Linked DNA regions of Rhinolophus ferrumequinum. The protein of the gene in region 2 purifies or fractionates together with the protein of the main gene of each other region. This does not show direct contact. Links are inferred from orthologs where the notes say so. Each region holds a gene or a part of one and is shown on either strand. Other genes may lie near its edges. The genes, in order: TOX4 and PPP1R10.

Region 1 (15,144 bases), on a different chromosome or scaffold from region 2:
ACACATTTTGGAAAAAAAAACGAAATCAACGCAGTGAAAGAGTTAAGAATACAGAAGGGCAAAGCACATGCTAGAATAAACAGACACTGATTCTAAATCTCGTTTAAAATCACAAATGATCTGTAGGATTATCGGAAGTTATTTTATTTTAGCACATCTACTACTAGATCATATCCTAGACTGTCAAATATAAAACAAAACTGTAGCAAATATTAAAGTAAAAAGAAATGATGTGGACACAGAAGAACACAGAAACATGATGTAGCTACCTTCTCACTCAGCTTTTTCCTTCTCTGCTAAATTCCTGGGCCTTTTCGGGGGAGGAAGCAATTCGGAAATTACAGTTTATAAACAAAGGTGCTTACATATTGAGAGAACCAAAAAATAAAAAAATCGGGCCGGCCCGGTGGCTCAGGCGGTTAGAGCTCCATGCTCCTAACTCCGAAGGCTGCCAGTTCGATTCCCACATGGGCCAGTGGGCTCTCAACCACAAGGTTGCCAGTTCAATTCCTCGATTCCCACAAGGGATGGTGGGCAGCGCCCCCTGCAACTAAGATTGAACATGGCACCTTGAGCTGAGCTGCCTCCCGGATGTCTCAGTTGTTGGTTGGAGCACATCCTCTCAACCACAAGGTTGCCGGTTCGACTCCCGCAAGGGATGGTGGGCTGTGCCCTCTGCAACTAGCAACGGCAACTGGACCTGGGGTTGAGCTGTGCCCTCCACAACTAAGACTAAAAGGACAATAACTTGAAGCTGAAAGGCACCCTCCACAACTAAGGTTGAAAGGACAACAACTTGACTTGGAAAAAAGTCCTGGAAGTACACACTGTTCCCCAATAAAGTCCTGTTCCCCTTCCCCAATAAAATCTAAAAAAAATAAATAAAATAAAAAAAATAAAAAATTCTATTTCCCTCCTATTTCACATTGCCCCATATCAAAACACACATTCCAATATTTCTTTAAATAGTTTCTTGTGTAGATTATTCATTTTAAAATTTGTTCTAATCCAACACCTATTTATTCAACAGTACGCTGGTATTGTGGGTTATTAAAATAATTGCTCTTGGGGCAGCCGGATGGCTCAGTTGGTTAGAGCCCGAGCTCTGAACAACAGCGTTGCTGGTTCGATTCCCACATGGGCCAGTGAGCTGTGCCCTCCACAACTAGATTGACAGATGACAACTTGAAACTGATGGGCCCTGGAGAAACACACTGTTCCCCAATAAAATAATAATAATAAGTGCTCTTAAAGACATAGTAGTGAAATTTTTAATAATTCAGCCTGAAATCATTACTTGCTTCTAATGTTATAAATACTTTTTCTATTTAAGGATAGGAGTATTATTTCCCCAAAGTGCTCAAAGCACAGTATCATTATATAAAAGTCAAGATGAATGAAACAGAAAGATTAAACTCCCTTCAAATTATCCAGCTTCCCTATTTCAAGCAATGCTGTAACAAATGCTAAGCCTGCCTCTCTGGACACCTACACTTTGAAAATTATTATTTCTTATTTTATTGAGGTATAACTTATGTATACAAATTTTAAGTGTATAGCTCAATGAATTTTTAACATATATAAACATCCAGTTAATTACAACCTAGATCTAAGGTACAGGACATTTCCATCACTCTAAAAGACTTTTCTCCTACTCCTTCCTGGTCAATACTCCTTCCCTTCTGGAACAGATACCACTATTTTAATTTCTATCACCATAGTTTAGCATTGTATATTCTTTTTTTAAAGGTCTTTTAAAAAATTATTAGTTTCAGGTGTACAAAACAACATACTTGTAGTGATTAGACATTTACACCCCTCACAAAATGATAATCCCCTCTAAGTCTACTACCCCTCTGACATCGTACATAGCTGTTACAGTACCATTGACTATATTTCCTATGCTGTACTTTACATAGCGTAACTATATATTTTTTAAAATTATAGTTGACATTCAATATTATTTTATATTAGATTCAGGTGTACAGCGTAGTGGTTAGACGTTGATATAATTTATGAAGTGATCCCCCTAATAAGTCTAGTACCCATTCGACACTCTAGTTTTTATACTACTACTGACTATATTCCCCATACTGTATTTCACATCCCATGACTATTTTGTATCTACCAATTTGTACTTCCTATCCTTTCACCTTTCTCACCGACCCCCCACCCCGCTCCTATCTAGCAACCATCAGTTTATTCTATCTCTGAGTCTATTTCTGTTTTAGTTGGTTGTTTATTGTTCTTTAGATTCCACTTATAAGTGAGATCATATGGTATTTGTCTTTCTCTGTGACTTATTTCACTTAGCATAATACTCTCTAGGTCCAACCATGTTGTTGCAAATGGTAAGATTTCATTCTTTTTATGACAGAGTAAGATTCCATTGTATAAATATACCACAATTTCTCTATCCACTCATCTATTGATGGACATTTAGGTTGTTTCCACATCTTGGCTATTGTGAGTAGTGTGCAGTAAACATAGGGGTGCATATATCATTTCAAATTAGTGTTTTGGATTTCCTGGATAAATACCCAGGAGGGAAATGCTGGGTCATAAGGTAGTTCTATTTTTAATTTTTTTGAGGAAACTCCATAGTATTTTGCGTAGTGGCTGCACCAATTTTCAATCCCACCAATAATAATTCTCTAATGTATGTAGAGAATGCTTTTCTCTACATACTCGCTAATACTTGTTTGTTTAGTGTTGTATATATATATTTTTAATTTTTTAATTTTTTTTATTGGGGAACAGTGTTTTTTTCCAGGGCCCATGAGCTCCAACTCAAGTTGTTGTCCTTCAATCTAGTTGTGGAGGGCGCAGCTCAGCTCCAAGTCCAGTCGCTGTTTTCAATCTTAATTGCAGGGGGCGCAGCCCACCATCCCGCTCGAGCTCTAACCAACTGAGCCATCCGGCCGCCCTCTAGTGTTTTCATATTCCTCATCTTCACTAAAAAATGAACTCAGATAGTGTCTACTTTTATGTCTGGCTTCTGTTATTCAACAATATATTTTTGAGATCACCCAAGTTGCATTTATTAGTAGTTCATTCTTTTTTATTGCTGTGTAGTATTCCTAGATATCTGGGTTGTTTCCAGTGCTTGGCTACTATGAATAAAGTTGCTGTGAATACACATATTTTTGGTGAATATATACATTCATTATATTTATATGTGTGTGTGTGTGTGTGTGTGTGTGTGTGTGTGTATATATATATGTCAAGGAGTGGAATTACTGGGTCACAGGGTAGATATGTTTATCATTTTCTTTTTTATAAGGAGGGCGCAGCTCACAATGGCCCATGCGGGGGTCAAACCGGTAACCTTGGTGTTATTAGTACCACGCTCTAACCAACTGAGCTAACCAACCACCCCTAGATATGTTTATCTTTAGTAGATACTGCCAGTTTTCAAAAGTGGTTGAAATCAATTTATACTCTCACCAGCAATGATTAAGACTTATCCAACATCCTTTTCAACTCGTGGGATTGTCAGTATTTTTAATTTTAACCATTCTGGTGGCTGTGCAATGGTATCTCATTATTTTATTTCCCTAGTGAGTGATGACACTTTCTCATATGCCTAATGGCAATCTGGATAACCTCTTTTATGAAGTACGTGTTCAAATCTTTTGTCCTTACTAAGACTTATCAGGGTGATCACTTCATAAGTTATATAAATGTGTAATCACTATGTTGTACACCTGAAACATATAATATTATATGTAGCTCTAACTAAAAAAAGAAAAACTCTAGTGGTGGCAAAAAAAAAAGTTAATAACAGAGATAGGATTTGAACAGAGGTCTTTCCATCACTGTGCACTGCCTCCCATCATGACATTGCAAAGAATTCAGCACTTCGAAAGTATTCAATAAATAAATCCCTAACATTAACCAAAAAAAAATTTCTTGTGCCCATTTTTAAATTGGATTCTTTCTTTTATTGTGCAGAAGTGTTTGATATATTCTAAATATAAGTTAGATACATGTATTAAACTATCTTCTTGCAGTCTGTGGAGTGCCTTTTTAATTTCTTAATGATATCTTTCAATGAAAAGAAACTACTAATTTAAAAGAAATCCCATTTTTCAATTTTTTTAAGGTCAATACTTTTGTGGACATCTTTTTCTTGCAAGAAAACTCTAAAAATCACTCTTCTTCTAAAAGAAAAATTTTAAAATATTACCTTTACCTAGTTCTATGCGGCTTACAGTAAGACCAGATACAACAAAACCCACAAACCAATTAAAATAAAGGTTAAAAAAAAAACACCAAAAACCGGGAAGGGAAGGTGAAGAAATTGTAATGAGGAGAACTGTTAACAATGACAGAGTCCTAGGCTAAAAGAAGCCACTGAAATTTAGTTATGAGCTTGGCAAAATAGTTTTGTTTTTTAAAATTGCTCAAAGTCACAAAAGCAAAAACAAAGGATAGACTCAAACCTGGAAAATTTCTTGATGAGGCCAAGGTGAAATTTACAAACACTCTAAATAAAGAATTTAAATTCTGGATACCTGATTTAGAAGAAATTGGCAATGATGGACTTTTCATGTGGATATGGCCAATGTGAGATTTACAATACTCCTAATAATGAAATTAAATCATGGAGCTATCACTCAGAAGAAACTGGCAATGAGACTACAAAGCATCAGACAGATTTTAGTTTTATATCGTTTCTAAATTTGCTGCTCATTTGATTCACACTTTCCTCTGCTTAGTTAAATAATAATAATAGCAATAAAGAAGTTAAAAACTAGCAATTGCCCCATGTCGATTTAATTCTCATTCATGAAAACGTTAGGATTTATTACAGGATAAGCCCATTCAACAGCAATTGAGAATTCTTGGTACGAAAAAAAAAAAAAACTGATGCAAATGGGTCACACCACTTTTGGGGAAAAAAAAATTAAAGTCCTCAAAAGACAGTAGAAAGCTCAAGATTTCAGAGTTTCTCAAAGAACAGGAAATTTATTCTTGTCTATTCCATCTTTCTCTTTGCCTTGCCTAAGTAAATGACACATATCTATATTATGACAATTATTTCAACAAAACTTTTCTACAAATACTGAAAGGACCTCACCATAATCATCACTTCTACCTCACAACATCGTAAGAAACTATTATTACAGCTATTTGACAGCTGGGGAAACTGACATACAAAGGTGACCTAACCTCCCCACAATGAGTCACTGGCAAACAGAAACACATGTTCTACTTCCTTCATGTTTTCTGGCAACTACGTATTTCCTTTCATCCTTCACTAGCAAAACAAGCTAACACCATGTACGTTAACATAACTATTAACTTTTTTTTTATCACTGAGTAGAAAATTAATATGAAACAAAGACCCCTAACAAAGTTTGGTTCAAGAATGAACAATGCTCACAGTTAACCCCTGCTGGGTAAACTCCTCTCATCCCAATTTCTTTACCTAAAATATTCTCCTCCTCCTTCAATCCCCCAAGATTGTCGTAGTTATTTCTCCCCAACGTAAAGAGAAAGACAATTCCATTCAGTCTTCAAATCCAGAATCACTCTGAAATACGCTAGCGCTTTCCAACGTCCTGCTTTTCTGATGACAGCAGCTTCCTGGGTCTACCCCTTAGTCCTCATAGGCTCTAGAAGCAGCTGCCACTTTTCTCTAAACACCAATCGCGGCCCCTGGTTCCCATCCCCCGGTCCCTGGCGCCCTCTCCTCCCCACCGCCCTACCCCACCACTGCCTCTCGCCCTCCCCCCCGCCCCCAGCATCGGCACCTCGTGCTCACCTCGGCCCCTGACAGGAAGGGGTGCGAGGGCCCTGTGATCGTCAGGTAATTGTCATTTCCTCCGGGAAACTGGAAACCAAAAGAAAGCCGCGGGGATAAGTTAGGGGGAGCAGGGAGTTAGCTTGTAGCGACGGATTCTGACCCCGACATTCTGACAACACTCCCCAAATCCCGCTCTCTCCCGTCCTGTCAGCCGCCTCTCCGCCCAGCTTCCCGCCTCTGCTTCAACCCGGTCGGTCGCACTCTCTTGTCAGCCTTCTTAGCGCTCAGGTTCCTACCTCCATTTTCACACAACGGCTATCACCGTCTCAGTCCCCTCATCGCTCCCACCGCCCCCACAAGACTCGGAACTGCCGTCACTTCCGCAAGGACATGCGTCGCTCTTCGCTGATTGGAAGGGGCGCGGTAGGGCTGTTACGAGTCAGACCCGGGAAGGCCGAAAGGACGGAAAGGCTAGCTATCGCCCCCTGGAGCTTGGTGGGATAATGGCACATAAGAGTGTTACAGGCGACCCTGGAATCGGTGTCTGGGTATTACCGTCGCTCCGACCAGGAGAGGATTTCTGGGGAGAGCAATAGAGATGTGATCTGGGCTAGAGGGGCTGGAGATCGGCGGATTGAGTGGCTAGACAGGCCGGAGGTAAGTGGCTGTAGAAGTCGGGCGGACCCGGAATCCAGAGGAAACGGGACCATGACTTATGCTTATCTCTTCAAGTACATCATCATCGGGGACACAGGTAAACAGCGGGCGACTGCCCTGATAGCTGGGGCGGGGATTCGAAGTTCCCAATTCGGGTCGTGGGGGCGGGGCTCAGTGGGCTGGGCGATTAGGTGAAGAGGGGGCGGGGGCAGGGCGGCCGGGGGCGGGGCTCGGGGCTCCCCTTCCCCAGTGCCGGACACCCCGACTCGGGACCGCTCCCGGGCGGCGTGACTCCTTGAGCGTGCGTCCTCCTCTTTAAGGTGTGGGGAAGTCATGTCTCCTCCTGCAGTTTACAGACAAGCGGTTCCAGCCTGTTCACGACCTCACAATAGGTAAGTGCATCTACCTGTGCCTGAACAGATAATGAAACATGACTAGCTAAAGTGAAAAGTTAGCAGCCTTCAGGGTTCAAAGTAAAAAGTTAGCTCCGCCTACTTATAAAATAGTCCGAAGTTGTGTTAAATGAAGAGTGACCAATCAAATGCTGTAAATGGGGAGTAGTGTAATGGGGAGCAAATAATTGAAAAGTAACTTTAGAGATGAGCATGAGGTATGAATAAGTTCTTTTTGTTTTTCCAAATGCAATTTGAATGTTTGGAAAATCCTACGAAAGCTAACTAATTCAAAAACTCACCTTACTTTGCGGTAAATTAGTGCTAGCCTCACGTGTGTGTGTTTGTGTGTGTGTGTGTGTGTGCGCGTGTGTGTATGTTAAGTAATTACCAATATACAGATTTTTGTGTGTGTTGGAGAGGAAGAAGAAAATTCAAGAGTCATCCTAGACTTAAAAGGTAGCTGAAACTAATAACTTTTGTTAAAAAGTGTGATAGAGTTCCAGGAGATTCTGGAAAGTATAAACATTTCCTACGTATTTGTGATAAGGCATGGCCTGATGGGGCTTTAGCAACCCCTGCCCCATAATATCCATAACCTCAACCGAAATAAAGAATGCATATAAAACTAGCCTCCTTGCCATGCAAACACAGTTTCTGAATAAAATCCCTAGCTCCCATTCTTACCATATTGTAGATTCTTACCATCTACAGTCCCACCTTACTGAAATCTGAAGCTACTGCTGCTCCCACAGGACTTATTCAGAGCCAAACAACTAAAGGTTGAAAATAATTTAGAGGGTAGCATCAACAGGAAAATATTTTTTTGGAAATGAATGTTAAGTGGACACCCACACTGTGATAAACTAATGATACAGTGTGTAAAAAGGCAAACATTGCGCTTGCCCTTAAGTAGCTTACAGTCTTCCCGTGTAGCAGGTGGGGCTGGGGGTAGATATAGTGTACTGACAAGTAAATTTTTATTGCAAAAAGGGAGGAGAGGATGCCTTTATCAGGAAAGGCTGAAAACTGAAGAATGAGCAGGACTTAGCCAGGCAAAGGGGATATAGAGATGAGGGAAAAGTGATCAGGGCAGGAAAGAATAACATATGCAGAAGCTTATGAATGACAGAGATCAGGCTGCCTTTGGAAAACTGTAAGTAATTTGACACGTTTGGAGCATGAAATTTGAAGTGGAGAATGACAAAAAATAAAGCTAGAAAATAAAATAGAGACTAAGTTTTGAGACACCTGAAGGCAATAGGAGTAAATGACAAGTTTTAAAGCGGAGGAATGACGTGATCAAGTTTTCCCCAGAGTCCAAAATGTGCTGTTTCTTTCTGAAGTCAATCCTTTGTACCAAAATAAACAAGGCAGTTGGATAGAAAATATGTGCAAAATGAAGGGTCTCTGAGTGCATAACTAGAGAAAGTTGCATAAAAGGATACAAAGTTTTATTTTTCAATTCTTCCCCATTGAAATTCCATTCCTATTGTCCAGAAGGGAAAAAAAATAGTGACTTTTTGCAGTAGCTATCACTATTCTTGATGAAGCAGTCTAGAGTAGTAAGAAACATTTTTTCTTTATATCATATTGACTTGAGCACCTTAGAGTTGAGGGTGATATTTTGATGCATTGTATGTGGGACCACTGAATAGGTGCATATCAGCCCATTATAAGAAGCTAGATTAGTCCTCTTTCTTACTTGGAAATCAGAATTCCTCAAGTAAAGTACTGTATAAAAAATAGGAAATAGAACAAATTGTCTGACATATGATCAAGTGTTTTTAATATAAGTGACCTTTGATTTTTAATTTTTGTCCTGATCTTACCTTGAAAGAAGATGAATGCCAGGTAAACCAAAGTCTTTATTGAGATTGTCAGTTTCCATACTCCTATGAGGAAGGCTGTTTTCTGATGAACTCTGGGAATTATTGGAGATCTGAAATATATTATTTTTGAGAACTTATTTCTTAGGTAGGCTCTTTTCTCAAAAAATCTAGAATTGCAAAAAAATATTGTTCCATATAGAGGAGTAGAGAGTGACTTTGAGAAAAATGCTAGGAAATATTTTTTAAAATTTTAGAAGTTTTTTAAAAAGTTACAAAATTAAACATTATCTAATCAAATTAAGCGTTAATTAACATTGCTAAAAATTTACTCACCTTTTCTGTTTGACTTCTTAATTCATTTTATCCCCATATCTGCTTTTTGGTTACATTCTTGAAGTCATTATCACCTAGAACACAGTTTTTAATTCTAGAAAAGAAATGAAACTTCAAGAAACAAAAAACTAATTGGCTCAAATAGTGGCACTGAGTGCAGACAGAGGACGAGTCACTAGCACATTGAAAAATAGCATGAACTTCTCACTCAACATGGCTGTTCATGACAACCACATTTTTTCTCTTGATCTTCACTGACAGGTGTGGAGTTTGGGGCCCGTATGGTCAACATTGATGGAAAACAAATCAAACTGCAAATCTGGGATACGGTGAGAGAGGACAAAATCATTTACTCCCTGACCAGATCCAAATACAACACTAAAGTCTGATGGAGGGGAAAGGGCTATGAGGATGGGAGCTAATGGTGGAGATCAGAGTAGGGGAAGAGTAAAGTCGAAGATATAGGGAAGCTTTCATTTTCCTCTGTTACAGTTACAGATATGAATGTCATAGTTTTAAATTTTTGTTTTAAATTACCTACGTAATATATGAGTCTGTTCTAGTAAAAAATAAAAGCAACCAATATAAGTGTATAGAGTAAAAGGTTAAATTCCCCTTTGCACACATAAACCTCTCTCCCTCCCAATCTTGGTTTCTGCGTTACCAGAGTAACCCACTATCATTGATTCAGACTTTTTCTCTGTATTTAGATACATAAATAGAAACAAATATATGGTAGTGGTTTTGCTTTTATTAGTTTTTAGAATTGTGGCAAAACAGACCTAGCTTTGTGACTAAGGTATTTTTTTTTTAGCGATCTTTATGTTTTGTAGACTTTCCCATGTCAGTACATACAAATCTACCTTATTTCTTTTTTCAATTTTTTAAAATTTTAAAGTCACCTTATTTTATTTCTTTTTAAATTAGTTTTAGGTGTGCAAAACAATGTAATAGTTAAATATTTATACCCCTCACAAAGTGATAACCTCCCCCAGTCTAACATCCCTCTGACATCGTGTATTGCTGTTACAATTCCATTGACTGTATTCCCTATGCTGTACTCAGCATCTTGTGGCTACACACACACACACACACACACACACACACACACACGTTTATTTATTTATTTATAGTTGACATTCAGTATTATTCGGCTTCAGCCTCAGGTGTACAGTACAGTGGTCAGGCGTCTACCCAGTCCATGAAGCGGTCTTCCTAATAAGAGAAGTGCCCATCTGACACCATACAAAATTTTACAACATTATTGATTGTATTTCCCAAACTGTCTTTCATATCCCCATGGCAATATTGTCTACTACATGTCTACGAATGTCTACTAAAACATGTCTACTAATTTGTACTTCCTAATTCCTTTACCTTCTCTCCCATCCCCACCCCCTCCCATCTAGCAACCATCAGTTTGTTTGTTTTTCTCTTATATCTCTGAGTCCATTTCCATTTTGTTTGTTCATTTATTCTGTTCTTTAGATTCCGCATGTAAGTGAAATCATATGTTATTTGTCTTTCTCCATGTGACTTATTTCACATAATATTCTCTAGGTCCATCCATGTCTTAGCAATTGGTAAGATTTCATTGTTGTTTATGGCCATTGTATAAATGTACCATAGTTTCTTTATCCAGTCATCTACTGATGGGCATTTCGGTTGTTTCCATGTCTTGGCTATTTTGACTAACACTGCAATAAACATAGGGGTGCATATATTTTTTCAAATTAGTGTTTTGGATTTCTCTGGATAGATACCCAACAGTGGAATTGCTGGGTCATAAGGTAATTCCATTCTACCTCATTTTTAAAAATCACTGCATAGGATCATAGAATGTCTGTTCCATAATTTATTTAACAATCCTCCCATTGATGGAAATTTCGGTTTCCAATTTTTCACCACTGCAAAGTTTCATTGATCATTCTCATTTATTACATCTTTATGCAGATACTTGAGGATTTCTGTGGACTGCCTGCCCAGAAATGGAAATTCTGGGTCAAGGTTATGCATATTTTAAAATTTGACAAATGTAGTACTGCCAAAATTTAGTTTGACTTAATGTAATTTTGCTTTATCCACATAAATTGTTTTCCTGTGCATTATCTCAATTTGGTTTGTACTTTTGTTTTCTTTAAGAAAAATAATGTTCAGTCTCTATTTCAAGTTCAAGGGAGGTAGCACATATTCCTACTATTCAGCTAAAATCTCTTCCTGTTTTTGATTAATTCATAGTATTTGATTCTGTTTCTTCTCAGAACTGAGAGCTGAAGCCCTTACATCTACAAGCAGTTCACAAGTGATTTTTTTTTCTTTTTTACCTCTCTTTCCCCTCTACCTACCCGACGTTCCCCAATACATGCAGGTGTCTGTCTTAAAAGTAGTTACTTGGTGCTCTAGACCCTTTTTGCACAGAGTCCTTTTCTGTTTGCCTCATTACCACTTTTGGATGCACTGATTGAGCAGCTGCTTTTAACTGGCATGATATTCTCCTGTGCATTTGTTGGTTGTATTTGCAAGCATTTTAATAATCTTTTGCCCTTCTGATCAGATTTTTCATTTTAACCGTATTGGCTTGCCCTAATTATAGGAAGGTGAGTCACTTCACAGCCCTGATAGTAGTAGCATTAACCAGATAACTCTAAAACTTCCAAACTTGCTTCTTTTGGCCAGTTTTGTCTCTAGCTTTCTCCTCCCAATAAAGCCTAAATGGTATTACTCTATATCTGTTGCCAAAGTTAAGTTCATATATTTCTTAAACAGCTGCCACTTATTTCCTTCTCCTTTTATTGCTGGGGTCCAAGGTTTTTTTTGTCATTATTAATCCAAGTAAGTTTTGCAACTCCTTTTTTATTATCCCCTGGTTTTTGTATTTCCCACAAAGATATATTTGGCCCCCTAAGAAGGCCACAGGACAAATTCTGAGGAGGTGACAAAGAGTGAAGCCTGTGAGTGTCAAGACTGGTATTAGCTAGATTCTGCCTTCTTAACTTAAACCTCTGTCATTTCCAAAACTGTATCTTTTGACGCCAGGAGACATAGTAGCTGCCAGTTAGAGGTATGGTCGTGGTCATAGAGTGTCTGAGTGTTGGCTTGCTGACTTTTTTCCCCTTAAGTGGTAATATGAAACATGATGGACCATAAAATAAGAAAGTTGAGAGCCACTGCTCTGCTGACATGATCCTCAAGAATCATATGGCCTGATAGTCACTTGAGATGCAACTGGCCTGGTTCTTTTCTACTTCCTTTTAGTAATTGCTTTGAGATTGGACTAATCTTTGTTGAGTAATTTAAAAAAATCAGATTTCAGAATACTGGGTTTTTCTATTTATTTTGAAATTTTTAAGAGATTCCTACCTATAATGTATCTGTCTCCTTACACTCTCCATGTAAGCCAGACGTTTCTCCCTTATCATCCCTGATCCCCTGTGCATTGTTTAGCCCCCTTGGGTTCCCACTTCGTTGACTCCATTTCTTCACTTCCAAAGCCATCCTACATGCAGATGTTTCAGGATTACCATGAAGGGTATTTTTAAAGAGATCAAGTTATCCAGTTTTTTGTTGTCACTGTTCTGGTTATTGAGAAGGATTTATAGAGCCATGTTACTTCTTTTTCTCTTTCTTCATTCTGTATGTATAGTTGCCCAAATAACCATGCTAAATGAAGAGGCATTGTACCATAGCTAATATAAAATAGTGATTAAATAATCCCAAATTCATTTGTATTTTACTTTGGAATGCATTTTGATTCTTAGGAAATAAGCATATCTGACTCTGTAGGAATTGATACTTCCAACTACATATCTTAAAACTATAATATGATGCTTCCACTTGAGAGAAAATAGAAAACTGTTAATTCTCTTTATCAAACCTCCATCTTAGTCTTTGCTGCTTCAGATTTTTTTCCTGGGGTTGGACAAACGTACCTCAGACTGATGCAGAGCAGCCCAAATTGAACTGCTCACTCTTTCTAGCATATTGGCTCACAAACTTTGGTTTATGAACTGGACTGAGATGAAGAAGTGAAGTGATTTGATTTTAAAAGTCATTTTCTGATGACCCACTGGCAGTATTTTCAGCTGCTAAAATTAAATGCTGCCATGTGATTCAACCATCACGTGGGCCTCCCTTAAGCTTTCTCTTTTAGATCCTAGTGGGCCACAGGGAAAGAGGGTCTTTCAACAGTAGCAGGAGAGGGAAAAAAGTCAGTAACAGATAAAAGCAAAACAGGAATTAATTTACGACATAAAACGATTAGTCAATAAATAAAACTTTGAGTTCTTGGGAGGGAAAAAGTATGTGTTATATCTTAAAGCATTACTAATATTACCAACAAATTCTTTAGAATTATTTTTGGATTCTCATGTTTTAACTGGTATGCTACTCAACAAAACATTTGTATGATTCTTTTGTTGTGGGAAAGGGAACCTTAGAATTAGTGTACTGGAATTCTCTTCTCACCTTCAAATCCGGGTTTAGAGTATATGATGTAATGGCTAAGGGAACAAACATCTGTGCTAGGAAGTACTAGGATCCTAAGTTTAAGTTATGTATTCGACATTTATTGACTTTATAACTTTTGGCTAGTTACTGAACTTATCGCTTTGAGCCTCATTTTCCCCTTTGTGTTATTGTTAGTATCAGCACTATTATTGTTATTATACTATAAGAAAGCCATTAATTTTCCCATGTCTACATTTTAGTTTTCCCATCTTTAAAATATGAACAATAGTCTTCCTTCCCTACCTTTATGTGGGGATATAAGGATAAGTGATTTCAAGAATGTGAAAACTTTCTTAATAGGGTAGATTCAATGCCCAGGGTATTCATATTATTATTTAAAAGATGTTTTTGCTTCCTCTAAGGGAAAAAAAAAACAAACCTATTCCATCAGGAAAGCAAAAGTACCCAGTATGTGGGGGCATTAATAAATCGCTCAGTTATGAGAAAAACTTAGTATCTTGACCCCAGCTGGAAATGAGATTAGAATGTGAACAGTTGGATTTTTTTAAGGAACACTCTGTCCTGGGCCCTGGGCTTCTTTCCCTGTTCTTTATTCCTATTTGCCATGACAAGATCTCAGCAAAGGAACATTTTGGTAGTCCTGCTTTTGTTAGTGGAACACTAAAGGTCAATTAGCATATGCACAATTTAAGTGCTTGGTATCTGACTAATTTTCTACATTGATCCATTAAAATGAAATTTCCATTGGACGGGATATTGGCATTCTAAGATAATTTTCTTTTTTACAGATAAAGGAATAGAAACAGAAAATTAATGTTAATTTCATGTGTTCAACATCATGTTTGGATTGACAGTACAACATACTCTGAGTTTCTAGTCCTGTTTCCAGTTTTTCTTTCTTTCTTTTTTTTTTTAAATATATTGGGGTGACAATTGTTAGTAAAATTACATAGATTTCAGGTGTACAATTCTGTGTTACATCATTTCTAAATCCCATTGTGTGTTCACCACCCAGAGTCAGTTCTCCTTCCATCACCATATATTTGTCCAGTTTTTCTTTGCTAGGAGACATTAGGAAATGTATGGAAATGTCTCTGATTGTCACACGGACTGTGGGGTGCTACGGCACTTAGTGCCTGGGAACCAGGGGTGTTAGTCAGCAATTTGATAGGTAGTCTTACAGGAAGAATTGACCTACCCAAAATATGAATTGCATTCCCTTTGAAAAATATTAATTTCCCACCTGGGTTTCTCTGTGGGCAGTCATGTTTCCTTTCCCTGATTCTCTTTTCTTAATAGGAATTATTTAAAAAATTAAGTCCTTTGTGTTGGAGTGGCATGTGATCACGTCAGTTCTCTGGAAATAACCTGGTTTTGTTGGGATTTTTTTGTTGCCATGTTGGTGGGAAAGGCTGGGCAAGAATCCTTCCGTTCTATCACCCGTTCCTACTACAGGGGAGCAGCTGGAGCACTGCTGGTGTACGACATTACGAGGTGAGTCCGATCTGATGAGGGGGAGGGAAGCTCTGCTCTATGGTCTCGAAATCTTTTTCTTGTCTGCCTACTGATTCTGGTAAGAATGCTGAAGAAGAATGGCCTGATGTTTTTTTTTACACATATAGCCTTTCTCCTTTTCCCATACATTTGGAATTTCTTCGTCATCTTGAAATGGGCCTCAGACCCACTTTCTAAACTTTTCTGCTGTAGGCGT
Region 2 (15,811 bases):
CTGTATCTAAGGCAACATGAGCCCCAATGCATCCCCAATGCAGGGATACCCTAAAACCTTTTTGGAGCAATAGATACCATGGTCCAGTGAGACTTTACTACAGTCAATAAGGAATGTACAAATTTCAGCATCTAAAGGAAGTACAGAGTAATAATTAAATCTATATTCAAAGAAGGCAGCATAACTGAGCCAGCTGGAAAACAGGGAAAAATCAACCTGACAGTGAAGAAACAAAAGATGGGCAATGATTTAATGGGCTCTTCTGTGTTACACGTTATATTATGTTAAAGATACGCTGACATGTCGCAAAAATAGTGAAGTGCTCTGTATCAAAAAGGACCTAAAAACTTGGCATTAATACAACAAAGGAATGGGAAGTCCAGGAATGTTTTTCACTTAAACAATATTGTATCTCAGGAAGTGTTCCCATTGTTTTCTCCTACAGCTAATGGACCTTCAGATAGGCTCACCCAGGCCTAGATGCTCCATCTACACCAAACGGCCGAAGCCTCTTTCCCAAAGGACCTAGCATACCATTCCCTTACGAAAAGAGCAAACCTGAACTCTGACGAGGGGATCAAGCTTTACCACAATACTGTTCACCTGCTGGACACTAGTGTCTTGTGCTCCTGATTTATATCTTTGGATACAAACCCTTGGGTACAAACCCTTTTCTGCTCTAAAGAAAAGGTTGTGATTTCAGGAGCCAGGCTCTACCTTCAAGGCAGAACTGTCTGGCCTTCGCCAGGAGGTCTGAAACCCTTCGTCCTAGAAAAGGGAAGAATCTGTTGCTATCAAAGCTATGATACACTCCAGGAGTCGGACTCTGCTAGGCCCTTCAGGAAGGCATCTATTAGTAGGACTAGTACCTCTGTTATTAGCAGAGTAGACATCGCAGGTCCCAGAATATACGGTGTTTATTCAGAAAAAAGGAAGTCAGTGATGATGAGACACTCTAGGATGACACTATTTCCCCCAAAGAATTTTAAGTGTCTGACTTTTACACCAAGAGATCTTAAGAATCAGCTTCTAGTTAAAGTATGGGACCTTGTCTTACGCTCATGAGCAGAGAAATGGACAAATCCCATTCGGAATTGAGAGTAGGAGAGAGGGGACAGGTTAGAGGAAGTACATTTTTAAAAGAAAAAGAAAAGCAAAGGGAGGTAGGAAGAGAAAGGAAGGTACAATCCCAGGATGGGGAGAGAAACAAAGGAAGCTAAGTGGAAGTGATGGAGGCAGGCCCAGGACAGAGAGGAAGGACTGGCCCCTACCTTCATCCTCACTCGACTTGCTCAGTTGCTTCACCAGTTTGGCTGTATTGTTCTAGGAGAGACAAGGAGCAGCAGGAAGGTAAATGCCAGAAGGACAAGAAGTCCACTCGGAGCTCACAACCCCCCAAACTCACTCACAGACTCTTAATAGACCTTTAACAGCAACTAACACTAACATTGTACTTTCCCCTTCACAAAACCTTTGTAGATACAGTCTTACTTAATCTTTAGAACAATCCAGTTAGGTAGGTACAATTATTCCCATTTTATAGACGAAAACAACTGGGGCTCAGATATATGAAGTGCCTCGAACCACATGCCTATTAAAGGAGATAGATTTGTACCAAGTCTTCTTATTCCAAATTCCTATTTTTCCTACCATACTCCCCCACGGGCTAAGATCACTGTCCGGTCAGGCAATGTGAGTTTTTCATGTTACACTACACCAAAAAGGACGCACTTGGATGGTAAAGACTGAAGGTACCTGCTTGAGATGGTCCACAGTGAGTGGTAGATGCTGCAGGGTCAGGAGAATTTGCTGCAAAAGGGGAATGTTGTTGGTTGTCTTTGAATACGTCAACCAATTGTTAAGAAGTTTGTAGCCACCAACGTCAATAAACCTGTAGGCAGGCAGGAGGAGAATATGTAATGTCCTCCTATGTTTTAGAAATACCACATCCCACTCTCAGTTCCCCATCAACAACCCAGGAATCCCCTGCCTCCCCTTCCCCACCTTCTAACTACGTCTTCCCATCCCAGCCACCCCGATTCCCACTTACTTGACCAGTATTTCTGGTGAACGGGTCTGCAGGAGAATGTTCAAGTAAGTGCATCGACTCACCATCTTTCGTGCTTCCTTCATCAGACTGTAGGGGAGAGGTTAGGTTACAAGAGAGCACCAGACTGCCTCTGTCAGCAGCAGAGTCTCCATCTGCGGGACTGCCTGGAGGTCCCTGATGACTTGGGACTTTGCTCCACAGTGGGAGGGTCACCTGGGCCTCCAGGAGGATGGGATGGAATCAGAGTGAAATGGAAACCCACAGGAAGACGGAGAACTGAGGAGACACTGAAGTCTCTGATCTGGGGAGGTGAGCATCACTGCTTTGAATACACAGGACACATTTGATTCTAATTCCAGGTGGGGAGCCCTAGCCCTCAACAACCAACCCTTAGTACCCTGTTCAGGACTGGCTTAGTCATTTGCTTCCCCTGGGAAACTTCAGCATCCTGGAAGGAAAATGAGTTTCGGTATGTCGAACGTGACCCAAAACACAACAAAGAATGTGGTCACGTGACTCCACGCTTCCTTCCTTCCTAAAGGTGACTCCCTTGAGACTGTGGCTATCCAAATATCTACATCCATTATGGCAAGGAACCAAGGGATCATCTTTTCCTACCACTTATTCTAAAATTATTGGATTTGAATCCTATTCCTTTACTGATTTTCCCCTTCCTCTCCAGGAACACTCGGTCCTGTCTGCCTTGATTACAGCCATATCACAACATATAACATCCTCTTCTCACAAGGAATCCAAAAAAGGGTGGACTCACCTGAAGATCTTGGAAATCCCATCCACACTCTTGACTTCCCCATCTCGGTTAAGGAAGCTATCCAGGCCCTTGAGAAGCTCTTTGGGGTCTATGGGACCTGAACCCATGATCGAGGTTTCTAAAAGGACAAAACAAACCCACAGAATAAATGGGTGGCAAGGAGAGTCCCAGTATGCCTTCTAATAAATTCTACTTCTACATTTGACAAAATATAGTGACTAATTATTCAATCTATATTCAACTACACTCACCATTTTCAAGAAAAACCAACACAGACCATTGTCACCACTGAGAAAATAGCCCTGGCCAATTAAGCATGGTGTTCCTCATGACTGAATGGAAAAACAATTCAGGTGGAGGACTGGAGCAGCACCTCTCTCCCGCTCCCAATTACAACCTTCCTAGGACAGCTGAACTTCCTTAGATTGTATTAAAATTAAGATTTACACTCCTGTAAGAAAATGCTCAACTCTCCAAGGCATTTTTGCTTATTGTTAAGTCCTGTCGCTTCCTTGCTGGTAAATATCATTTGAAAAACAAAACAAAACCAACTTGTAAGACCTGGGCCAATCTTGGGTGCTTGGGCTAAATGTCTTCTAAGATTAGTCATTCCTTTTTATCTTAGCCCATTAAGAGTCATAATTACAAGTGGCAGGATATGTTCTGCCTACACCAGTAGACAATCAACTAAAGTGCAGGTGACAGAGAAGAAACAAAATTTGAAAAAAGAATCTCTCCCCAGGGGAGGTGTGGGTAGCTCCCAGAAACGGAGACAAATGGATGCAAAGAAGTCAAGCAGGTCCTTCTAAGCCTTGAATAGAGTACCACTCACTAACCAAACACTGCGTAAGTTTTTATTGTTTCAAAGTTAAGGGCAAGATTGGTTTGTGGTTTCAAAAGCAAGGATGCAACTCTGGCCCCCTAATCCCCCGCGCCCCCCAAATCATAGCACCATCCAAGATCCCCAAGAAAAGCCTGAAATTAGAAACCATGGAGCCAAAAAGAATAAAGCTAGAAGCTGGAAAAATGCCATTAAATTTTAAGTAGCTACTTTAGACAAGGTTAGAAAAGGAGTTAATTAAAAGTTAAACTGCTGTTATGGGACAGTATGAAGCAATTTCTAGGCCAGAACCCAAGTTCCAGAAATGTAATTAAGAATCAACATAGTTCGGATTGGTATTTTTATCCACCATGCCTCTAAACACCGGCTTCTGAGAACCAAAAGAGAATTCCACCTCAGTAGTATCTGCATTTGGGAAATAAGGTTAACACTGGGTTGGTAGGAAGGGGGCAAGGAGAAAACCCTGCATCCTGCTTCTGGAAGTTAACAGACACTATACACGAGCAGAACAGTGGGAAAATCAGCGTTTTACAAAGGTGACTATATTTTGTGCAGAAAAGAGAACAGGTTTTTTATAAGAAATTATTAATTCTATTTGTTCTCAAACCAAAAAACGAACAACTGTTAACAATTTCGGCCTTTTAGTCCTCCCAACAAAAAGGTAAGTTAATTTCTAAATCAGTAGGTCCTAACAACTCAGGCAAGAAAAGGCAGAAGCAGCAAGGAGGCTTGTTCTTGAAGCTGAATAAAGGGAGGAGATGAGCTAAGAAATGCAGAGAAGTGCGCAGATCTGGTTTAACTGTGCGGTGACTGCTGCCCTGGAAGAGCCCCAGGACAGGCAGAACCTGAAGTCAGAGAGGAAAACACTGTAGATAGAATACCAGGCAAGACTAGAAGCCCCTAGGGCCAAATCCACTGAACTGGTGATTGTTATACAGAAATAGACACAGGGATAAAGGAATTTTTCCCATGTAGTAAGACACTATCATATATAAACACTATAAAGAGAGAGAAACGATAAAGATATATAGAACAGATTTCCCATCTATTGAAGACTGAAAAATGAACGAATCCAAATACATATTAGCAAACAAGGTAATATACAACTTGACAAAAAGCCTTCCATTAAACTAACATCACTTCAAAACAGCCCCCCTAAATACAGCTAACTCCACTGATTTAAACCCAGAATTGAATATACATCACTTTGGAGAACTCCTATTTATATACCCAACTACCAGCTAAGTCAACAGGCCTGCCACCCCTACTTCCTTCAGAAACTCAAAAAATTATCACCTGAGCTCAAATGTTCCTTCATTTAAGAGGGTGGAGGAGAGACAAATTACTATAAAGCTAAGTTGTCTAGTGCCTTCTGCTGGGAATGGGACCAGGGACTTGTTCATTCCCATTCGTAACAAGCCAGAATAGTGAAGAGAAGCTACGAGACAAAGCAGTAGAAAATGTTATTCATTTTCCACTATTCTTTTCCTATATAATTTTGAAAATAAACAAAACTAAGTTTATCTCATGAGCACCAGTCATGTGATCAAAATGTTAAGTGGGTTCTCATGATGGCTTTCCTACAGGGAGATTAGCTTTGACTCATTTTAAAGTCCCCAAGTGTCTTGACAACCTGATTTCCTTCCTTCGAAGTCAGTACATTTTGAAAGAAGTCCCAAGGCACTCAAGTGGAAAGGAATGAGCCTAAATCCTTGGCACAGGCCTCCAGGAGAGAAGGCGAGTGAGTTAACCAGGAAGAACGAGTGGCCAAGTGTCAGAACATCACCTAGTCACACATGGCGCCTGGCCTGGAAGCCTGAGGAAGCTTTCTGGAGCCAAAAACAATCCAGGGCATGATATATTTTAATTCCCTTGAATGTAGAACATACAGGAGAGACAGGAGCAATCCCTGGCCTGACTCCACCACATCCTGCACTGTGTTCCTCACGGAGGATGCTGCAGGCAGACCCGCCCTAGTGGCTGACACAGGCACTGGCCAGTTTTCTCCTATTCTTACCAGAGATCAAATTTTAAAGTCCACAAGCGGCACTGACTCCTGCCTCCAAAATGAATTTTACTTGAGCGTTGATCAATTAAATAGGGTGAAAAATACTTAGTTTGGCTGAAGTTGTTCCATACCTATCACCAATAAAACAGAACTGGATTGGTTCAGGACAAAAATTCTACACCAAGTCAGAGCCCTTTTCAAAATACTCCTCTAATCAAGGAGGAAGGAGTCAGTTCCCCTTTAACTTGGAGACCTCAGCACTTGGGGAAATGAAAATGTTTCATACCCAACTCCTTACATTCCGCTTCCTTTCCTGTGTTTCAGGCATTTCCTCATACGACTCAATAGCAGACTGAATTATGTCTCAGGTGATTCATAAGGTTGTACCTCTTCTAAGTAGTAAGCCCCTATCCCTCAGTCATTTTTAAAACTTGGTACATGATCTCCCCAAAAGCTTATTTGTAAAACTCAAACCCCCGCTCCCTCCAACCCCATCCCAATAGGAAAGGATCCCAGAATAGAACACTGGCCGAAAACTACAAGATCAGGTTCTCCGAGGTTTTCTGGATGTATTTGGTTTCCCTAGAAGACTTTTTTTTTCCCCATCTCCCATGTTATGGAACATCTTCTTTATTAATCCCCTGCTCACTAGAGATCAGGAACCCCAGTGGGCAGAATGTTCAGCTCCCAAGGAAGGTATGCTGCAGAGGCACAGGGCAAACTGCTTAAAAGATAAAAAAACTTGTCATCAGTAGACATGTGGAAGTGTCCCTCCCATCCAATCCAGATTAGTAATTTGAGAATCCATACCCAGTAGAAAATTAGCCCTGAAGTCTCACCCAAGTCACCACAGGGCCACTGTACAAAAAGACTCCCCCATTCTGCCTAGAACCTCCACGCTTCAAAGTAGGACTTTAAAAAAATGAAAAATATATGGAGAGTCAGACAGATTTGACTTTGAAAAAGTTGGAGGAGGAAAGAAAGGGACAGGATACCCAATTCCACTCTCAGACAGGGCATGGCTTTCGAACATGCACCAATTGCCATAGCACTGCATGAATTGAGAAATGAAGACATTCTCCCATTAATGTTTTTAAGGAATTCCTTTTGGAAGGTAAGGAAAAAGAAATTCAAAAAAAGGTGGCTCTTGGGAAAAAAGAAATGAAGGTTGTGAAATGTAATACCAGAAAGGTTTTGCTTACCAGAAACCGTAGCTTGATTCCCCCTGCCTTGAGTTTACAACTGCAGCCTCCTTTCCTAAAGATTCACTTCTCATCCTAGCACCAATGTACAGGAGCTAAGCAACTGGAGAACGTGATACAGCACTGAACACAAAGAGTTTACCCCCAAACCTTAAGGCGGGAATAAGGGTGACTTAGAAGAAATTCCTCAAATACCCACCTTCCCCCGCCCCATACAAGGTGACCAAATGCAGGACGCCCAAGGACTGGTTCCTGAGCAGAAATGGCACATTTCAGTGTTATTAGGCCCCATTTGTCTCAAGTTACCTTCACAAGCCCTTGTCTTTCCCCAGTATCCCCCAACACACATATATACACACAAGCTCACACACACTACCCCCAAAAGCTTCCGTCTTAAAGGTATAGTTGGTTTAACTGGTTTTCGACCCCTAGCAACTGAAGCAGGGAAAACTTCCAAGCAAGCAGTTGTGATGAGTGAAAGATGAAAATAAAAGCAACAGCCTGTTAAATATACAAACTAGAGCTGCCCAAGGAGATGTACAGCTTGAAGACCTCATTCCTGTAGGCTTTTTCCCTTTTAAAATAAAGGCTATAAAAGGTAAAATTATAAGGAAAATGTCTTTTCCTGGCTGCGTGCACAGGAGTCCAGGAGGCATTTGCTCAGGGGTGGAGTTTCAAAGAGGGTGGAGAGACAAGAAAGCTGATTACATCACCTTTCAGTGCTGCTCCTCCCCCTTGACCAAGTTTCTAGGGCGGCCCTATGCTCTGGACGGCAAAAGAAGAAAAACAAAGAAGCAGGGACGCCATTTTGTAATGGAGAAAACTTTAAAAAGCTATTCCAGCTCTGCCGGTAGCTAATTACATGAAAAAACACCCTTAGTTTAAAAAAAAAAAAAAAAAAGAACGAACGAAAACCAGTCCCCCCATCCTTAAGTCTCTGAGCTATTTTGAGTAAGAGCGTTGTGAAAATAAAAGCAATTAAAATATTAAAAATAACAATTTTCTGCGGGGAAGAATTGAATTTGCAATTAAGGTTCAACCTACCATCGACCACCCCCATCCTCCCTATAAAGGCAAAGGGGGAGGACTTGGACCCCTCTCAACAAATAGGGTTGAGATAGGACAAGAGAAAAATGGGAGACACAACCTGCAAAACCGCTTGGAAGACAAAGGACAAGGAAAGTCGCCATATTGAAGCAGGGAAAAAAAAAATTCCTTTTAACGACACAAATTTTTTAAAGCTAGCATTCAATTGCACTAAATGGCTTTTAAATTATACTCCTGAATTTCACATTTCCCAACCTTTCCACCCTCTACTTAACTGAATTCCACCCCCCTCAAAAAGTATCAAGTTAAAATGTTAACCTTTTGCTTTTAAATAGCCTATGCAAACTGCAACAATTACAAAACATTTACTTCCCCAACTATTATCTTGTATGTACTGGCACTAGGATTATATTTTGCCCTGAATTAAGTGTCTTGCAATCTTTATTCCTAGATTGCCGCCTATTTTAACCACACAAATATACCCCAAGCATATTACATAAAAATTGAGAGGATTTAACAATCATCTTAAAAGTCATAGCCAGCTATTTCTCTCTGCCCATCTCCTTACCCTGCAATCTTTATGTACAGATTGCTCATTAATCTGGCAAATTGAAAGGCGCCCTGTTTGTCTCACACACAAAGAAGTGGGACTTCTGGGCCATGAGATCCACCGTCTTTTGTATGTGAGCTCATTAACCCTTTTGAAGACTGCTAAACGGGAGGAAAGTAACCATTCCCCCTTATAAAAAGCAAACACTATGGCTTTGGCAGTCTGGAAATTGGCTGGATTACCAAGGGTTAACCATCAAAATCCTCACTTTCTGGCTCTCCCTCCACCCTCTCCTTGCCTTCAGCAGGCAGGGGAGAGGTAGGTGGTAGAAGAGTACAAGACTGTTTAGACCCAAAGGCCCTTTTTAATGGAGATTAAGTGACCGGCTTGGTCCTTTCTCCAGTTCTCTATTTTGTTCTATGGTCTCATTTCTTCCTCTCATTATTTTTGGTTTCACAAAGGGAAACGTTGATTTCTTGTTGCAAGGCTCGTTTTTGAAAATTCGACACTTACTATCCAATTTTTTTGCGACGTCAGCACCTCGGGCTCAGGGGGGAGGGGGTTAAAATTTGAGAAAAAAATAAACCAACCAACCAGGACCCAAAACTCTTATTTGAGGGGCCTCATTGGATCAAAAAGTCTCTTAAAAAAATAAAGGCCAACTCAGTATTCATTTCCCCCCCACCCAACTCCATTTAGGGAGGGGGGGGTCGCAGAAAAAAAGTTCTGAGTGGATTCAAAAAAGTAAACGCTGGATAAGTGAGTTTGGGTGGGTTTGGGAAGGGAGGGTGGTTGATTATTTTTGAAGTTATGTGGTGACGGTCCTTCGGCCACAGATTTCAAGTCCCAAGCAGCGTGGGCTGGTGGGGTGGGCAAGATAGGTGGGAAGGGGCAGAAGACACAAGTGGTTGGGCTGGTGGCTGCTGTTTTCCCTTTCCCCCCTCTCTCAGGATCCTTTCAGGGGCTTAGATGTTGCTGCGGCTTGTTTCTTTTGTCCTCGTGGCCGGCCTGTCTTTCTCCGAGAAAACTCAAACCTGGGATAAAAGGAACACAAGGGAGAAAGATGTAATCAGTACGGGTTGGCTTTAAACACCCCAAAACTACCATCTTTGTTGTCCCAAACACCTCCACGTCCAATGCCGAACACAGCCGCTTTATATAAGTCATGGCTCCCAAATAAATCCATGCCTAACCCGTTTTCCAGTCAAACCTCTCAATAAAATTTCACCCTCTAACCGACAAATTACCGAAACTTACCTCTAAACGAACCCCAGAATGGCGGATGCCCGGTCCGGTGGAGTATTTTATACCGGGACGCCGCCCAACGCGCCCAAACGTGCTAGTGTAATTCCCTTGTCGCGAGACATTGTGCGCGAGGCGTGAATTTATTGGTCAACCCGAAAGACAACTCGCTAGCTGATTGGCTATCCTTCCTTCGCCTTCGCTCAGCCCACCCTCCCCTCCCCGCCACCCCTGGGACCTTTTTCCTCCTCCTTCCTGGGGGAAGGTGTGGGGGCCGCGTGCGCGTGACCTGACAGCCTAGCACCGCCTTTTCCTCTGTTTCCGCCACTTCCGTCCTCAAGAACATTTCTCAGCTTGGGTTGGTAGAACCAGGTATGCGCATGCGCAGTAGTAGGATCTCGGTCAAAATCGCCTTCAAAATTGTTTAAAACGCAAACTCTAAGTATGAGATCTAAGGATCGTAGTGACTGGTAGAGCAAAAATTCAATTTGGAGGCCGAATTTGATTGTGACGCAGTTGAAATTGGCTTCTCCACATGACCCCCTTTCTCGCTTCCGTCCTGACGCAAGTGCGTGGCTGCCTCCCGCATTGTAGGCTCCTCCTTGGTCCTACCCTAGTCAGTTTCTCGGAGCATGCGCAGTCACTTTTCCGGTCGTTCCACCTTCGGACGTATGTCAAGATGGCGGCCTCCGTAGTGACTACGCTGCTGAGGCGCCTTCCTAGCGTTTGGTCCTTCAGAGGTGCCTACGGAGTTCAGGTAACTCCTTGGAGCACATTTTGTACAACCCTAATTTAGTTATGTGTTTTTTAGGTTGTCGCTCCACTCCTGGGAATCCAGGAGCGGAGACTTTCTTAAGGATTTTTTCCTCGGGTGTCTAGGCAACACTTCGTTACCACCAGTCACCCTTTCCCCTCACCGTGCTCAAATCTCCGTGCATTTTTAAAATCCCGAGCCGAGGGCAAAGAGACAGGGTTAGAGTCATCCTCTTCCCAATTTATCGTGTCGGCTAAATAACTAAGTGAAGGAGTGGAACCCCCTCTCCCTCGGTCATGCACAGCCAACTCTTTAACTATGCAGATGGTGTCTAAATCTGTGATGCCCTGCAGTGTCCTTGAGCTCAGGGACACCATTTTCTATCAGCCCTACTATCTCCCAGTGAAGCCGGGATACATTCTCTGGACCTGATACAGGTTCCTCAGCCGTCTATGTCACTAAATCACTTTATTATGAGAGCATACATGAGAATTTAACTCAGCCCTTTGGATTGAGGTTTCCCTTCAGCCTCATGTACTCACCACCCTGGAGGTTCTTGGTAGGGCAGGGCAGGTTCTTGGTGGGGCAGGGTGAGATAGGAAGGATTGCCCAGCTCCACTCCCTAAAGTGGGACTGAAGAGTGGTGATGGGTCACCACGGCTTTAATGACAGGTCTGGTAGCTTTAAAGCTAGCATTAGGACTCAGCTTGTTCTTCCCTATGGAATGTTGACCTTCAACTTTGTATAAAACTGGGCAGCTCTGATTCTGGATTGGATTGAGTTGGAGACTCACTTGTCCTATGTATGCTTTCCCTGCCACACACTTCCAAGAAGCGAGACATCCTCCTTTTTTCTTTCTTCACCCTTTTCCCTCCACTGGACTCAATTTGACTCCAAAAGCATGACTATCTTATATGTGCCGTGTTTTTAAGTTGTCCTCTCAAGTAAGATTGCATCTCGGTCACCTATCCTAGTTATTTTCTAACATTATCTTCTCTTTCAGCATTGAGATAGGGAGAATGGTTGTTGTTGATCTCACAACAAAAATGGCCCAACAAAAATGCTACCTTCCATATATATCCCTGCTATATTCCATTAACACTAAGGGTGTGCACACCCCTTCTCCCTGAAGTGTCAGCAGCAAAATAATCGAGTCCTTCCTTGAATTCATTTTTTAATTTTTGCCCTACTTTTACAGGTTCCTCTCCAGACTCTTTGCACTGACGTCTCCCCTGAGGAAAATTCTTTACCCCCGGTTCCCATTTCCCCTTATAAAAATGAACCCTGGAAATATCTGGACTCAGAAGGTACCTCTTAAGTGGTGAAGCGGAGGGTCATGTGGGGTCTGAAATAAATGGGCAGAGATACCTGCTGCATTCTTACCGGTGTGGTCCTAAATTTCAGAATACCAGACCCGCTACGGTTCTCGCCCCGTCTGGGCTGACTACCGTCGCAACCACAAAGGTGGAATACCCCCACAGCGGACTCGAAAGACATGTATTGTGAGTTTCTGAGGGTGGCACATGGATGGGATGTAAAGTCGGGGTGGAGACCATAGTGACAGTGGCAGCAGCACTTTTTCTGACAGGGCTTGGAACATCTTCACCTGCCAGTTTCTTCTCTCTGCAGCGTAAAAATAAAGTTGCTGGGAATCCCTGCCCTATCTGCCGGGATCACAAGCTGCACATCGACTTTAGGGTAAGGAGAATCTTTTTTCCAGGATAAGAATTTAAAGCTTCTTTGTAATGTTATACAAATTTCCAGGGGTGCCCCACTCTTCATATCCCGGCACCCCTACAGACCATTTTGTACTGGCTTTCTGGCACTATAAAAACATCCCTCCCTCCAGCCTTTTGCCTTCTATGGATTATAGTGAAAAACTTCATCCCTTATCTGTGAAATTTATAGTCTAAATTGGGAGGCAAAAAAATCCTATTTCTGATGGGACAGCAATGCCCAAACTTTATGTATATCCATCACAATTATTAGCAAGTAGGTTGGGTTAGTTTTTTTCTGAAGTTTTCTTTATTTCCTTGTCATGTTGATGTTTGGTGGCATTCTGAGACTTGCAGCTGGAGGGCAGATACATGAAGCACAGTATAGAGTCTAGTTATTTTTTCAAAAAGCCTTCATTGTGAGAAGGACAAGACTTGCTCCTTAAAAAATTCAAAAACTTCTTAAAACTGAGCTTGCAGTGAAGGTATTAGATCAGAAGCTAAATGGCTGGTCATCAGTGAAGCTGGAGGGCATTTATGTATCAGTCAGCGGAGGAGGGTGTCTGACTGTTCTCAGGCCCCATCTGACACAAGTTGTGGAGGAGTCCAGTGGGTGACTTCTCAATTTCAGCTGTGTGCAATTGGTTAATAAAAAGGGATTCTAACCATTTTTTTTTTCTTTTTAAATTTTTATTGGGGAACAGTATGTTTTTCCAGGACCCATCAGCTCCCAGTCATGTCGTTGTTTTTCAATCTAATTGTGGAGGGCGCAGCTCACTGGCCCACGTGGAGATCGAACTGGCAACATTGGTGTTGTGAGCGCTGTGCTCTAATCAACTGAGCCACCCGGCCGCTCCAGTTGTAACCAATTTCATACAGTTTATAATGACATAACAAGGAAGAGAGAAAAGATTACAAATTTCATAGTGCAGATGATTCTGCCTGCCATTCTACTCTACAAGTATACCTGCTTTTTCCTTGGGTCTCACTTCCTGTGGTTAATTTGCAGCTGTAGAATCAGTCTATATAATTAAAACTGAAATTGATCTGAGTAAATATATATATTATACACAGCATGCTGTTACATACCTTAATCATTCATATACGCACACTGTAACGTATACTACATTTTCTGGGTGATTTCAGGGATTGCCACCTGACAGTCCCCAATTTTTTTGCATGAGGGCTGATTTTAGAACCTAACCCCTGCGGAAGAGAATTCTGAATGTAAGATGCGCATGTGAAATGGTTGAAAGGCAGGAAAGGGGAAATATTTGCTGGAATTTTCAAGAATGTGTTCAGTAAAGCGATGGGGCCAAAACTGGGACATGAAGGAGGGTAGCATCTGGAGAGACGGGTTAGGGTCGTCTGTAGGAATTGTGCATATTCAGTCTCTAAAGGTCTTGGTGCTTTCCCCTCTCTCTCTCATTTCTCCACTCTTTCCGCCACAGAACGTGAAGCTCTTGGAACAGTTTGTCTGCGCCCACACGGGTATCATCTTCCATGCGCCATACACAGGTTAGCCCATCACTCCTGTCACCATCAGAATAGTTTTTCCTGGGAGCACTTCTCGTTTATTCAGTCAGACGATAGGTATTTGTTTGGTGGCTGCCACCAGCATAAAAAGTGTGTTTGAGCCTTTTGGAAATCGTGGCTTAATGGAGATACTGACATGCTAAAACTGTTACATGTAGACAGAATTTACAGACGAGTGTCATTGTAAGCAAATGATCTAAATGTAGCTCTTAAAAATAAATAGTGATGCTTATTTCTTTAGGGTGTCTTCAGTTTTACAAAAAGCTTTCTCAGAAATTGACTATCCTATAAGTTCTTTTATACCATTGACCATTAATTGTAAGCTTAACAGTTCAAGATTAATCTATTCCTAACCACGGCCACAGGCCAAATTTGGCGACCCACTATGTCTGTTTTCATATTGTTTACAACTGCTTTCAGGCTACAACGGCAGAGTTGAGTAACTGAGACAGACACTCTAGGACCCACCAGGCCTAAAATACATGTCCCCATACAGAAAAATTTTGCCAACCCCTGCTCTAAAGCAAGATGAATTTGTAAAGAATAATCTGGACTTACCGTTTTGGGGATGGCAGCATGATTAGTGGAGTTCGGTTTGTCAGGGAGTTTTAAAGAGGAGTTTTGAACTCCTGTCAAACTGTAAAAAACTGAAGAAACTATTTTGGTACTCTCTGAGGTTGGCTTCCCCAGACCTGCAGTATTTTCTTTATTGAATTTTTCTCTTTGAATTGTCCTACCCAACCCTTTAACTAAGCACACTTGCCCTTTGACTTGTGTTCTGCTCCCTGCCTTGGAGCCTTTCCAATTAAATGGCTTTTCTATAGTGGCTGGACTCTCCTAAGTTTTCATCCCAGCTCAGAGAGAGAGAGGATTCTTCTCATTGGGCAGATGGAGGGACAAGCGCATGGAGGAGTCAGGAGAATAGGGTCATTGGATAGAGCCAGGTCTTCCAAACCCAGCCCTCCATCACCATGGAGAAGAGGTTTTATTCCTTATTTATGCCTTATAGAATGAGCACTGAGTTTCCTTTTTCTTCCCACAGGAGTCTGTATGAATCAGCACAAGAAGTTGACCCAGGCTATCCAGAAAGCCAGGGATCACGGTGAGTGTGAGAAGGGGCACTGAGCAGTTTTGGTAGGCTTCAGGAAGGGGATTGAGGGCTGGATGGGTATAAATGCTCCCACCAATCTGAGAAGCTAGCACCCAACACGCTCATCCCAAGAATCTCTTTCATCACTCCACTGTCCCTTGTTCCCTCTCCCGAGTCTCTTGTCATTGTCCTGTCCCCTTGTTCTTCCTCTTTCCTTCCCCTCCCCGCCCCCTTATAACTGTTGGTCTCAATGCTATAGCTAGATCCTAGGAGGATGTTTGTTCTTTGATAATTTTGATATATCAATTTCTGGCCCTGGGCTCCATGATACCTTTGCACAAATTAGGAAAAGGTACCCCTCCATTAGGGCAGATGCCACTGCGTAGGCCTGGTGCAGGGCTGCGCAGCTTGGTAGGCAAGAGCCCAGGCAGTGTGTCAGCCCACGCTTGTCCCCTTGGCCAGTTGGCCTTTGTGCATGTACATCCTTTCCTCCCTTTATAGCTTATTTTCATTACTGTCTCTTAATCTGAACTACCCCACCTTGCTCCCTTCCCTCACTCTCTCTCGCTCTGTTTAATCCCCTAGGTCTCCTCAGTTACCACATTCCCCAGGTTGAACCTCGGGATCTTGACTTCAGTAACTCTCATGGAGCTGTGAGTGTTACTCCGCCAGCCCCCACTCTGCTTTCAGGGGACCCCTGGTACCCATGGTACAACTGGAAGCAGCCGCCAGAGAGCGAGCTGTCCCGCCTTCGCCGGCTCTATCGAGGCCATCTCCGAGAAGAGAGCGGCCCCGCCCCTGAGTCAGTGCCTGAGGTGCCACCCACAAGCCGAGCTGAAGCGGCCCGGTGCAGGCGGGTGCAGGCGGGCCCTCGGAGCGCTCTGTAGGAGCTGTAGACAGGGAAGGCCGCCTGAGGGGTTAGGAGCCAACACCTAGGAATTACATGACGGGATTTCCTGTGAAGAATGGTGTCTTGTCTTGTGGCCAGTGGCTGGCTGGTCCAG

Evidence for each region.
Region 1: the proteins of PPP1R10 (region 2) and TOX4 purify together in Homo sapiens (affinity purification with mass spectrometry; 3 studies listed by BioGRID and IntAct, counting the BioPlex papers as one, with this or other methods). This does not show direct contact. The link is inferred for Rhinolophus ferrumequinum from reciprocal best matches to the Homo sapiens genes PPP1R10 and TOX4.

The regions. Positions count from the first base shown.
Region 1 is NC_046289.1:72,275,705-72,290,848, reverse strand, and holds the start of TOX4 (TOX high mobility group box family member 4), read right to left. Parts: upstream 6,146-15,144; 5' UTR 6,055-6,145; coding exon 6,049-6,054; intron 5,840-6,048; coding exon 5,771-5,839; intron 5,453-5,770; exon of another isoform or gene 5,435-5,452; intron 1-5,434. Other genes in the region: RAB2B (ras-related protein Rab-2B), read left to right, coding at 6,461-6,506, 6,730-6,801, 9,228-9,295, 14,845-14,927, 15,141-15,144. UniProt on the Homo sapiens protein: Transcription factor that modulates cell fate reprogramming from the somatic state to the pluripotent and neuronal fate. In liver, controls the expression of hormone-regulated gluconeogenic genes such as G6PC1 and PCK1.
Region 2 is NC_046286.1:1,236,026-1,251,836, forward strand, and holds the start of PPP1R10 (serine/threonine-protein phosphatase 1 regulatory subunit 10), read right to left. Parts: upstream 9,839-15,811; 5' UTR 9,728-9,838; intron 9,505-9,727; 5' UTR 8,984-9,504; intron 6,893-8,983; exon of another isoform or gene 6,874-6,892; intron 2,941-6,873; 5' UTR 2,930-2,940; coding exon 2,823-2,929; intron 2,138-2,822; coding exon 2,051-2,137; intron 1,892-2,050; coding exon 1,756-1,891; intron 1,324-1,755; coding exon 1,272-1,323; intron 1-1,271. Other genes in the region: MRPS18B (28S ribosomal protein S18b, mitochondrial), read left to right, coding at 10,392-10,469, 11,665-11,773, 11,871-11,968, 12,096-12,164, 13,633-13,699, 14,760-14,819, 15,393-15,694.